Arabidopsis thaliana: one gene and its partner. The protein of the gene in region 1 interacts with the protein of each later gene in a biochemical or structural test. Each region holds a gene or a part of one and is shown in the gene's direction. Other genes may lie near its edges. The genes, in order: ELF6 and BES1.

The links.
Region 2: the proteins of ELF6 (region 1) and BES1 form a complex in vitro, tested with the Arabidopsis thaliana proteins (one study listed by BioGRID).

Annotation. Positions count from the first base shown.
Region 1 is NC_003076.8:1,167,286-1,175,397, forward strand, and holds ELF6 (Zinc finger (C2H2 type) family protein / transcription factor jumonji (jmj) family protein), read left to right. Parts: upstream 1-1,867; 5' UTR 1,868-1,931; coding exon of another isoform or gene 1,932-2,126; 5' UTR 2,127-2,258; coding exon 2,259-3,315; intron 3,316-3,640; coding exon 3,641-3,719; intron 3,720-3,842; coding exon 3,843-3,910; intron 3,911-4,216; coding exon 4,217-4,367; intron 4,368-4,457; coding exon 4,458-4,969; intron 4,970-5,053; coding exon 5,054-5,218; intron 5,219-5,362; coding exon 5,363-7,353; 3' UTR 7,354-7,707; downstream 7,708-8,112. Other genes in the region: AT5G04238 (uncharacterized protein), read right to left, coding at 1,932-2,126. UniProt on the Arabidopsis thaliana protein: Histone demethylase that demethylates 'Lys-27' (H3K27me) of histone H3, thus acting as a positive regulator of gene expression. Demethylates tri-methylated (H3K27me3) and di-methylated (H3K27me2) H3K27me. Inactive on H3K27me1, H3K4me3, H3K9me2 and H3K36me3.
Region 2 is NC_003070.9:6,686,650-6,691,172, forward strand, and holds BES1 (Brassinosteroid signaling positive regulator (BZR1) family protein), read left to right. Parts: upstream 1-1,885; 5' UTR 1,886-2,030; coding exon 2,031-2,089; exon of another isoform or gene 2,090-2,184; coding exon 2,185-2,455; intron 2,456-2,772; coding exon 2,773-3,516; 3' UTR 3,517-3,762; downstream 3,763-4,523. Other genes in the region: AT1G19340 (Methyltransferase MT-A70 family protein), read left to right, coding at 10-149; RRA3 (Nucleotide-diphospho-sugar transferase family protein), read right to left, coding at 4,023-4,523. UniProt on the Arabidopsis thaliana protein: Positive regulator of brassinosteroid (BR) signaling. Transcription factor that activates target gene expression by binding specifically to the DNA sequence 5'-CANNTG-3'(E box) through its N-terminal domain.

The DNA of each region.
Region 1 (8,112 bases):
CTTCATCCACAAGCATCAAGATCCTATTTTTTACCTTTCTACTCTTCACACAGTTATGAAAGTAACGAGTGTTTCTTTCCCCTGTGTTAAGCCATTGTTCCCTGCTGCAATGTTTCCAGAATATCTCTTCCTCTTTATAAGCAAAAGCTAACTCAGTCTTTGTCCTCTGCATTACGTTGGGGTCTGGGTGCATTTTAGAAACTTCCTTCTCAAGAGTCTCTTTTAACTTCACCATCCTTATCTCAGAGTTAGTATTTGATGATCTTTTCTAACGATATAATTCTGATCTACATCTTCCTATACGTTCTGCCAAAGAGATCTCTATATCTTGTTGTCCACCACACCATCCTCTTTTCACTACGTCAACAATTCCTGGTTTTGATAACCACCGCTTATCAAAACAAAACCTTCCTTTGGCATTAACACTTTGCTCCGAAGCAAAGGTAATCAAAATAGGTCGATGATCTGATGCCCACATATCAAGATATTCCATATGAGCTCTAGGAAATAATTGAAACCATTCGTCATTACCGAAACTCCGGTCAAGCCGACATTGAATCCATATTTTATCTCGCCAGCCTGCCCAAGAAAACCAGTTTCCAGAACTTCTTATCTCTGCCAATTTGCAATTATGAGCCATGTTACGAAAATCCCAGAAAGATGATTCATTGCGGAGAGGTCCTCCCATTTTCTCGGTATTGGTCATCAATTCATTGAAGTCACCAAGCACTACCCAAGCTTCATTTCTACCAATGCCAATCCCAGAAAGTTGTTCCCATACTAACTGTCTAAGAGCTCTCACTGGATCGCCATAGACACAAGTGAGGAAAAACATCATTGACCCTATATTCACCTTCAAGTCAATTATGCGATTATCAGCACTCAACACTTCAACCTTGTAGCAATTCTTCCAAAAAACGGCTAAGCCACCACTCAATCCTACTGGATCAACCATGAAACAGTTATCATAACCTAAAGAGTCTTGTAATCTCGTAACATACTTCTTTTTTTGTTTAGTTTCCATGAGAAATAGAAAATCTGGAAAAAACGTTCTTTGCATCTCCCTTAAACGACGGCCTGTCTCAGTGTTCCCAGCCCCTTGACAATTCCAACTTAGTATACTCATTGGAGTCTCAACAACTTCTCAATAACCTTAGAAATTTGCTCGGACTTGAACAATTGCTTTGGTAGATTTTATAAACACAGCTATCTATCTTATGCAATTGACTTTCCTTTCAAAGCTTCACTAACTTATCAATAAAGTAGAAAACCAGAGCAAATCCAGATGATGAAGGTTTGTACAAGCAAACCCTAGGCGATCTCAACCAAACTCTGCAAACTAATATGCAACCCACAAGATTAATCCAAACTTGTTGAAAACACAAAAACTTATCCTAATTCCGGCAGAAAACGAGAATATCTCCGGTCTTCAAGCTCCGCTCACTCTGAATTTGATGGAAACTCTTCGTGAGAGAGAAGTTCATAAGCCCAAAAGAGGGACGGCGATGGTGGTGTCTGCTGTTATGATCGGCACGAACGGCGATTGGAAATTGATGATCGCCCTTTTAGTCGGCGTCGCTTTTTTCTTTCTTTCTTATTCTCTTTAGAGTTTATCAAATGAGAATTCATCATGTCTATATTAATGAGAAAGAAAACAGTTTTTTTTTTCTTTCTTTCAAAAACTGGTTATTATAAATAGGGCCATACCGTAGTGGGCTTTTAATAGTTAATGCTACTAAATGCGAAAACAGTAATCCAAAAGTCCAGAACTGGTCCGTAAAAGAGTCAGTCTGGTCCACGAACCACCGAACCGCTGGTTTAAGTTATCTGATACTGCGCGCACACTAGTAAGAGTTTAGTTATCCCACGCTAACATGCGCCAACGGCAAACATTAAAGTAAATTAGGAATTTTCAAGATTTAACAATTTCTTTACACAACTTTCTCTCTCTTTGCTTCTCCTCCGTTTCTCCGTCGTTGCGCAACCGCACAGTTCATATCGTTTCTTCTCCTCATGAAGATTCCGCTGCTTTTGCCGTTGTTGATCGTACCGTTACGTAAAATTTCATTGTGTTGATTTGGTCCCGATTTGAAGAAGCCAGGAAGATACATCTTTGAAACCGGCATCGGAATTTTCGAATCTAGGGTTTTAGAGTGCTGGGTTTCTCCACTAGGTTTCTGTTCTTGATCTTGTTAATTGTGGGATTGATCTGATTTTGGTGTTTGAAGTGCTGGGTCTTACGGAATTGGGAATTTAAGATGGGTAATGTTGAAATTCCGAATTGGCTTAAAGCTTTGCCATTGGCACCTGTGTTTAGACCTACAGACACTGAATTTGCAGATCCCATTGCTTACATATCGAAAATCGAAAAGGAAGCTAGTGCCTTTGGGATTTGCAAGATCATTCCTCCTTTACCCAAGCCATCGAAAAAGTATGTTTTCTACAACTTGAACAAGTCTCTTTTGAAGTGTCCCGAATTGGTTTCAGATGTTGACATTTCGAAGGTGTGTAAAGAGGATAGAGCTGTATTCACCACTAGGCAGCAAGAGTTAGGCCAAACTGTGAAAAAAAACAAAGGAGAGAAGGGTAAGAGTAATTCTCAAAGGAGTGGTGTTAAGCAGGTTTGGCAAAGTGGAGGCGTTTATACATTGGATCAGTTTGAAGCTAAGTCGAAAGCTTTCTACAAAACCCAATTAGGAACGGTTAAGGAACTGGCACCAGTTGTCATTGAGGCATTGTTCTGGAAAGCGGCTTTAGAGAAGCCTATATATATAGAGTATGCTAATGACGTGCCTGGCTCTGCTTTCGGTGAGCCAGAGGATCATTTCAGGCATTTCCGGCAGAGGAAGAGGAGGGGCAGGGGATTTTATCAGAGGAAGACAGAAAATAATGATCCATCAGGTAAGAACGGTGAAAAGTCATCGCCTGAGGTAGAAAAGGCACCCCTTGCTTCTACAAGTTTATCATCTCAGGATTCGTCCAAGCAGAAGAACATGGATATTGTTGATGAAATGGAAGGTACTGCAGGCTGGAAGCTCTCCAACAGTTCGTGGAACCTTCAGATGATTGCACGTTCACCTGGTTCTGTTACACGTTTCATGCCAGATGACATTCCTGGTGTTACATCTCCCATGGTTTATATCGGTATGTTGTTCAGTTGGTTTGCCTGGCACGTTGAGGATCATGAGCTTCACAGTATGAATTATCTTCACACTGGCTCACCAAAGACTTGGTACGCTGTCCCTTGTGATTATGCGCTTGACTTTGAAGAGGTTATCCGCAAAAATTCTTATGGCAGGAACATTGACCAACTGGGTACGTTCTTTTTGAAAACTACTGCTAAAGATGATATACTGTTTCTGTATTTATAGAGATATGTTGTTATTATAATGCATGTGAAAAATGAGGTTTCCTAGAATGATTACCGCATTGACGTTTTCTTTATTAGCATAATTTTCCTACTTTGCAAATGAAAATATGGCTAACATTGACCATGGTATGAAGAGAGTTTATTAATTGTGGTTAATTGTCGTAGGTCTTATTGCTTTTGCGCTATGATAGATAGAAGAGATTGCAATACTCTTAGGAAAAGCATTGTCCTGTTTCTCATTAACACTTCTCTGCTCGTTGTTACTGTCAGCTGCTCTCACCCAACTAGGCGAAAAGACAACTCTTGTATCACCTGAGATGATAGTTGCATCTGGCATTCCCTGCTGTAGGTAGGCCTTTTATTTCATTTAAACTTTCACTTCTGTTATGTGGAGATATGAGGCAGTGTTTTCTTATAACTACTTCCATTCTCTGCTATATCTATGTTTATTTATGTTTGTTTGCCTACGTAGGTTGGTACAAAATCCTGGTGAATTTGTTGTGACTTTTCCGAGGTCTTATCATGTAGGATTCAGCCACGGTAAAGTGCCTTTTTTTTCAAACATTTCTTTCAAGTCTTAGTAATTCTGTTCATTCCATTTGCATTCTACAAAGTGGTTGAGAAAATGTGAGAAATTGAATAAAGCTGTGGAGAAAAAGGGTGTTTATCGACATAGCATGAGGTGAGGATTGATCTTCCAATCAGAAGAATGAAGAATCATATTTCTATTGGGTAGTTATTTCAGGCGCATAGTAAAAAAAGTGGATAGTTTGGCTTAGGTTAGGAATACGAATTACAAACTTTTCGGAATCCATAACTAAGCGGGTTTAATATAACTTTTCCTAGGTTTTAACTGTGGGGAAGCCGCTAATTTTGGAACCCCACAGTGGCTCAACGTAGCAAAGGAAGCTGCTGTGCGTCGGGCAGCCATGAATTATCTACCCATGCTGTCCCATCAGCAGCTGCTATATCTCTTGACTATGTCCTTTGTTTCAAGGCAGGTTACCATGGTCTCTTTGTCATATAACCTGTACGTTTTGATGGACCATGTCAATGCTCATATTCTTGTAATTATTACATTTTCCAGAGTGCCACGATCATTGCTACCAGGTGGTCGTAGCTCCCGACTAAGAGATCGGCAGAGAGAAGAAAGAGAGTTCCTTGTGAAAAGAGCTTTTGTAGAAGATATATTGAACGAAAACAAGAATTTATCTGTTCTTCTTCGAGAACCAGGCTCTCGTTTGGTGATGTGGGACCCTGATTTACTTCCGCGTCATAGCGCACTGGCTCTTGCAGCTGCTGGAGTTGCTGGTGCTTCTGCTGTTTCACCTCCAGCAGTGGCAAAAAAAGAACTTGAGGAGGGTCATTCTGAATTGCAGAATAAAGAAAAGACTTCTCTTTTAGAGGAATTGAGCTTGTTCATGGAGAAGCTGAATGATGTATACTACGACGATGATGATGGTCTGCTTAACGATTTCCAAGTTGATACTGGAACCTTGCCATGTGTGGCTTGTGGCGTTCTTGGCTTCCCCTTTATGTCTGTGGTACAGCCTTCTGAAAAAGCATTAAAAGATCTCTCAGAGAGACAAGGAGAGACAGGTAACAGATCAGTTTTTATCCAAGCTATGAACTGCATCATATGCCTTTTAAAGTCTATTAATTCTGTTTCTATTAACTCTACAGATGCTCAGGAAATTATGACACTGTCATCAGAAAAGTCTGACTGCGAATGGAAAACGTCTTCTAGATATATAAGACCTCGCATTTTCTGCCTCGAACACACTATTGAACTTCAGAGACTGCTGCAATCAAGAGGTGGATTGAAATTCCTTGTTATTTGCCATAAAGGTTTGTCTGCATCATTTGCGATACTTTTTGATAAATTGTTGAATAGAAGAGAGTTATGATTTTTACACCCCCCTGGAAATAAAAATTATCTAAAAGTCTGTTGATTGTTGATATTCTGTTAACCTTTTTCTAAAATTGTTGCAGACTTTCAAAAATTCAAGGCACATGCGGCTATAGTGGCAGAGGAGGTCAAAGTCCCTTTCAGCTATGATGATGTCCTGTTAGAGAGTGCATCTCAGGAAGAGTTGAGTCTAATTGATCTTGCAATTGAAGATGAAGAAAAATACGAACACAGTGTAGACTGGACCTCAGAACTTGGCATCAATTTACGGTACTGTGTGAAAGTGAGGAAAAATTCCCCTACTAAGAAAATTCAGCATGCACTGTCACTAGGTGGCTTGTTCTCCGATACAAGCCAGATGCTAGATTTTACAACTATCAGATGGCTGCAGAGAAAATCACGCTCAAAAGCTAAACCCAGTTCTACCTCAAGTTTCACACCTTGTGAACATCTTGAAGTAAAAGCAGATGGAAAATTAAGGGATAATTTGGATTCTCAGACCGGAAAAAAGGAAGAAAAGATCATCCAGTACTCGAGAAAGAAAAAGTTGAATCCAAAGCCTTCAGCAGAACAAGTTCAGGAGCTAGCTACCCTAGCTAAATCAAAAGATTTTGATAAGACATGTAAAAATTTTAGCAGTAGGTCACATCTGGATAGTGCAATTCGTTCTGAGATGAACAGTGAGATTGGAGACTCTGGAAGGGTCATTGGGGTATCATTTTCCATAAATCCTTGTAGCTCATCTTTCACTGTGGGACATGGGCAAGAACATCCCGAGATCACTGTCAAGTTTGGTTCAGATTTAGATGGGAATGTCACAAATAGTTTGAGTATGGTGAATGGAGACTCTGCTGACCTAACCTTAACCTCCATATCCAGAGAGCAGCACCAAGGACACTCTATGACCAGCAATAATAATGGCTCCAACTCAGGTAGTCATGTTGTGGCAAGCCAGACCATACTTGTTTCTACAGGTGATAATCATGACGGACCAAGAAAATTGTCTGGTGATTATGTCTGCAGTGATGTGTCTGTACGTGGTATTCAGGAAGCGGTTGAAATGAGTGACCAAGAGTTTGGAGAACCTAGGTCTACTGTCACTAATATTGAGGATGAACAGCAATCACAGATTGTGAAACCAACCCAAAGAGAAGCTGTATTTGGTGATCACGAACAGGTGGAGGGAGCAGAAGCTGTGTCTACCAGAGAAAACTTGTGCTCTGAAATAATTCTGCACACTGAGCATTCTTCAGCTCATGTGGGTATGGAAATTCCTGACATAAACACGGCCAGTGAGAACTTAGTTGTTGACATGACCCATGATGGTGAACCTTTGGAAAGTAGCGATATATTAAGTTCGAGCAATGGTGATGAAGCTTCTTCAAATGGATTGCAAGTTCTAAATGATGAGCTTAGCATGGAGAGTGAAGTTTCAAGCTCAGAAAACACCGAAGTTATTGAGGCTCCCAATTCTATGGGAGAAGCAAAGAAGAAGCGGAAAATAGAATCAGAGTCTGAGACAAATGATAATCCAGAGAGTAGCATTGGTTTCATAAGGAGTCCTTGTGAAGGGTTGAGGTCAAGGGGCAAGAGGAAAGCAACATGTGAAACTTCATTAAAGCACACTGAAACGAGTGATGAAGAGAAGAAACCCATTGCGAAAAGGCTGAAGAAAACACCAAAGGCTTGCTCAGGGAGTCGTCAGCAAGAAGTCCCCACGACAACTCACCCCAACCGTTGTTACCTAGAGGGATGCAAGATGACTTTTGAGAGTAAAGCGAAATTACAAACTCACAAGAGAAACCGTTGCACTCACGAAGGGTGTGGAAAGAAATTCAGGGCTCACAAATATCTGGTGCTTCATCAACGTGTGCATAAGGATGAAAGACCTTTCGAGTGCTCTTGGAAAGGATGTTCAATGACTTTCAAATGGCAATGGGCGAGGACAGAACATTTGCGTCTGCACACGGGAGAGCGACCATACATATGCAAGGTCGATGGATGTGGATTGTCGTTTAGGTTTGTATCTGACTATAGTCGCCACAGACGTAAAACCATGCACTATGTCACATAGAAAAAACGGCACTGAATGCTTAAAAATGGTGGCTGAACAAAGTGAAATGGCCTCTCTTTGGAATCGAGAGTTGTTGTAACATGTAATATCTGGTTGGTTTTTTTAGTTCTTTTCTAGTGGTTTAGACCGTTGCTATATCTCTTTATGTAGTATAGATGTGACTTCTTTCCACTTTTGAGAAGGCCTCGCACTCTTGTTTAGATTCGTTGTTAAACATGTAACGATTGGATTCAAAATGTTAATACGCATGACTCACCCATTTAATCCCAGATCTCTTCTTAGGTTCATTGCCTACAGACTTGTTGCAGCAGTTCCCAAACGGTTTAACAAAAAGTATTCTTGTTTTCTCCCAGGTCACAAATATCAGTCTTTTACGGAAATGTATTATAATTGGAAACTTAAGTTTTGAGCTTTTGGTTACGTGAGAAGTATTGTAATGTGTCAATTGGAATTGAGGAACACGTGTATTAAAAATAGAATCTATGTCAGATGTTGTAGTTACGTATACGTGAGTTAATCATTATCCCAATTCTTACTTGTATTGTAAATTCCTTAGAGGGTTTTATTATCTAACGATATAGATTACGCATCTTATTAAAATCACAACATAATGCTGCCAGTAACGATATCTTTTACGTATCATCATTATTATTTTTATTTATTTTTCAAAAAATGAAATAATATTTTATCTCTGCTAATGTAAACCAACAAAAATGGAGGAATAGTTGAACTTGGATAAGATGAATTGAGGTATGAAAA
Region 2 (4,523 bases), on another chromosome or scaffold:
TTTGTGTAGATATACTACTGAAACACACTCCCGGGTCTCAACCTGCTCGGTGCCTTGAGCTATTTGCGAGGGAAATGGCTGCCGGATGGACCTCTTGGGGAAACGAACCGCTTCACTTTCAGGACTCGAGATACTTTTTGAAAGTTTAGTGGGCGCATTCCCTAGGGTGTAACCAAGAAAAAGGCTGGCTTGGGCCCTCATGATCGTTTTTCTCTATGACTCATTCTCAAGCTGGGGACAGTTAGGAGAGAACCCTTGGAAAGAAGTGGAAGGTTCGGTTCATCGCAAACGACATCGTTTGAAGAAGACAACACTAGAGTAAGCCTGAAAAAAGTATAGTGTTACTAAAGATTATTTTGTCTCAGAACTGTACCATCAATTTAGTAAGCTTTTTCCTTTTCCTTTCATAAACAGATGATGTTTCAGATAAAATTTAAATATATTATCAGTACAGTAAGATTACATACTATATTAGTATCACTATTCTGCTATTCACTAGATTTCTTTTTCTTTTTCAACAAAATATGAATAAAATAAAGGCAAAAGCGTGTTAAATATAAATTCAATAAGTGACTACTCGTTGGAAGATCATATCTGCTTTGATGGGTCTATTTGTGGGGCAAATCCACTATCCAGTTTTCCTTTTGTGTTCAATGAACTATACAATTGTCAAAAAAAAAAAAACATGAGAATTAAAGAAAATCATCATGACCAATGAAGAGCAGGTCCCAACAATAATTCCGAATTATAGGCTCTGATTGTTATAGCAATCAAACAATATGCTTACAAATCACAAAACAAAATTAACGATATTTCCAAATATAGAGCTTTCCAGTTTGACTTAATAATGTTGTGTGAATATCCTCACATTTCCATTTTCGACTCTCTTTAGTAAATTTTGAAGTAGTAGAATGATGTAGAATGTTTTGTTTTATCAATCACACAGTTTTGTGAAATCACGATTTCCATCCACTATTCAAGAAAAACATCAAGTGGAAGAAATAATAAACCAAAACCATCGCAACAAAATGCATATCACGAGTATAGAATGAACAAACTACACTGTCAAATACTTAATTTAGGACTTAAACTTCGCTTTCAGACAACTTGGTTCGGAAACTTGACCATCCGTCATGTTGATATACACAATCCATCTCAAATGTAGTAGTGAATCACTATATCAGCATGTGTTATCAAACGCAAGTTGTCACTAAGATCGGAGCTTCTAGTTCAAAATGTTGATAAGTATTACGAAAGTACAATTGAATATACCAATTATACATCCAAACACGTCCATGCTTCTCCACTCGAGTTCTCTTTGGAAATCTATATAATCCGTCGGTTTGGTATTTTACTAGTTGTACGTAGTGTCTCCCCTCATATGTATTGAGTCTTTATAGTTTGTTGCCTCGTATACGATAGAAAGTAAAGGCTAAAAAACCATACTATTTCATAAAGGGTTTATTTAGTTAACTTTTAATCTAAACCATGTATCACTCCATTTTACGTATATTCGTTTTCACAAATAATCTACTAAATAATTTTGTAATGTGATAAAATTAAAGAATAAACACATGATACATAAACAGTCAGGACAAAAGTAAGCACTCATTTTCTTCTATTCATACTATAGTGAAACACTATTTTATTTTTATCCATATACTATAGTGACAAATTAATCTAATCATTAAATGTTATGAGGCTCAAAACAATTTGTTTTCTTATTTAACATGGCCGATCCCCTCATAAACCAATCAGATGGTGTGTTTTCCGGTCATACTCGTGTAGGACCCACTTCATTACAATGGCCCCACATGTCTCTCTATCTTTTTCTCCTCTTTATAAAATCAGCTCCTTTTCTTACACAGATTTAGAGAAACACAACATAAAACGTACTTCTTCTTCAAAACGCGAAACCACACTGTAAGTTACGTACACCACCACCTATCCTCACCATTCATCATCGACACGTGGCTGGTTTAACTCAAATCAACGGTGAATTCTTTTTGCTTTTTTATTTTAAATAATGAATGAAAAGATTCTTCTATAATTCCAGCGAAGAAGAAAGAAAAAAAAAAGCGTATTCCTCGTGAGCACTAACTTCTCACTCATTCTTCTTCTTCAGCTGAATCCAAATACCCATTTCCATTTTTAACCGTGGTTGGATTGTTTTGAGAGTTGAAGGAAGAAGATGACGTCTGACGGAGCAACGTCGACGTCAGCTGCAGCTGCAGCAGCAGCGATGGCGACGAGGAGGAAACCGTCGTGGAGAGAGAGGGAGAACAATCGGAGAAGAGAGCGGCGGAGAAGAGCTGTTGCGGCGAAGATTTATACTGGTCTTAGAGCTCAAGGTAACTACAATCTTCCAAAACATTGTGACAACAATGAGGTTCTTAAGGCTCTTTGTTCTGAAGCTGGTTGGGTTGTTGAAGAAGACGGAACTACTTATCGCAAGGTCAGTATCAAACGCATTTTTACTTAGATCTGATGTTATCTGATGATTTAGCTGTTGAATCTGAAGATTTGGATTTGAAATTGGTCAAATTGGGATTTTCTTGGCTATGAATTCGAGGTTTTTAGCTGAGGAAGCTCAGTTTTATTCTAAAATTGGATCGAGATTCCTTGCGGAGAAAGTGACCTTTAGGGTTCTTCTTACTAATTTGAGAACCGAATTAGCTTTACTTTCACTTGGTTACTATATTTAGATCTCTCCTTTAGCTTTTGATTGATTGTGACATTGTGATGTTTTTGGTATTGTTCTATGAGCAACAGGGACACAAGCCTCTACCTGGTGACATGGCTGGATCATCTTCTCGAGCAACTCCTTACTCTTCCCATAACCAAAGTCCTCTTTCTTCCACTTTTGATAGCCCCATCTTATCTTACCAAGTCAGTCCTTCCTCTTCTTCATTCCCGAGTCCTTCTCGAGTTGGTGATCCACACAATATCTCCACAATCTTCCCTTTCCTCAGGAATGGTGGTATTCCTTCATCGCTTCCTCCACTTAGAATCTCAAACAGTGCTCCTGTCACTCCACCAGTGTCATCCCCAACTTCTAGAAACCCCAAACCATTGCCTACTTGGGAATCTTTTACCAAACAATCCATGTCCATGGCTGCTAAACAGTCAATGACTTCTTTGAACTACCCGTTTTATGCGGTGTCTGCACCTGCCAGTCCTACTCATCATCGCCAGTTCCATGCTCCGGCTACTATACCTGAATGTGATGAGTCTGACTCTTCCACTGTTGATTCTGGTCATTGGATAAGCTTTCAAAAGTTTGCACAACAACAGCCATTCTCTGCCTCTATGGTGCCAACCTCGCCTACCTTCAATCTCGTGAAACCTGCACCACAGCAATTGTCTCCAAACACAGCAGCAATCCAAGAGATTGGTCAAAGCTCCGAGTTTAAGTTTGAGAACAGCCAAGTTAAGCCATGGGAAGGGGAGAGGATCCATGATGTGGCTATGGAGGATCTAGAGCTCACGCTTGGAAATGGTAAAGCTCATAGTTGAGATGAAGTATACATGAACCTGTTATGTCATGTCGGAAGGAAGGATTGGAGAATGAGAATTAGTGTGTTGTTCATTCAGTTCATGGTTTTGGTTCTTGTTCTAGAATCGATATTCATTGTACCAGTGAGTTTGTTTCACAACGCATTATTTGTAGATAGAATGTTTAAGATGTATGTTTCTATTATCATTCCTTTTAGGTCTTGAAAACATTACAAATATATTACATGATTAAGTGGCTTGAAATGTAAATTATATATCGGATGATGAAACAGAGAAAAACAAGTGAGGCTAAAACAAAGACTTGGGATGTAATAACAAGATCAGAGAGGTTAAGAAAGAAAAAAAAGACTTGCGATTTTAGCCATAAGATACACAAAAATTCATAATACAAAGAGGAAAGTAGAAGGCATGAAGCAGTAAACATTGGAAAAGGGAGAAATATATTAGAATCACAAATGTCAAGAAACTCGGAAAGTTTTTTTTAGCCTATCTGCTTTTCAGGTGAATCATTCAGAACCATCGGGGAAGCTATCAAGCGCGTCTTGCTTACCGTTAACGTAGAACTCAACGACGGCTTGCATTCTATTGAGCTTATCTGGATGGTAATTCACATGAACAATCACTGGTTTCACTTTCTTCTTCAGTTCATGATTCTTTCTTACAGTCTTGAAAAGGACCTTACTGTTCATAAACTCATACATATCCATGACTCTCTTGGATGCATGTAGCGCAGTGTACTCAGGATGTGAAGGATAAAACAGTTCCTCGTTGAAAACCGCTTGGTCCCACACTTTAGCCTTAGAGAGTCTATCTGCCACGCGATCAAGCAGCTCGATTGATGGAATTGTAGGCCTCAAATAGAAAAACCCGGAATTGAAAACCCATATCCTCATAGTGTGAGCATACCGAGCCCATCCCATGGCTGGTTCATCAAACACATCATTGAACCCATAAGCCGTATGATTGTCATGGCCATCACTCATTGACTCCACATCAGAGTCTCTGTA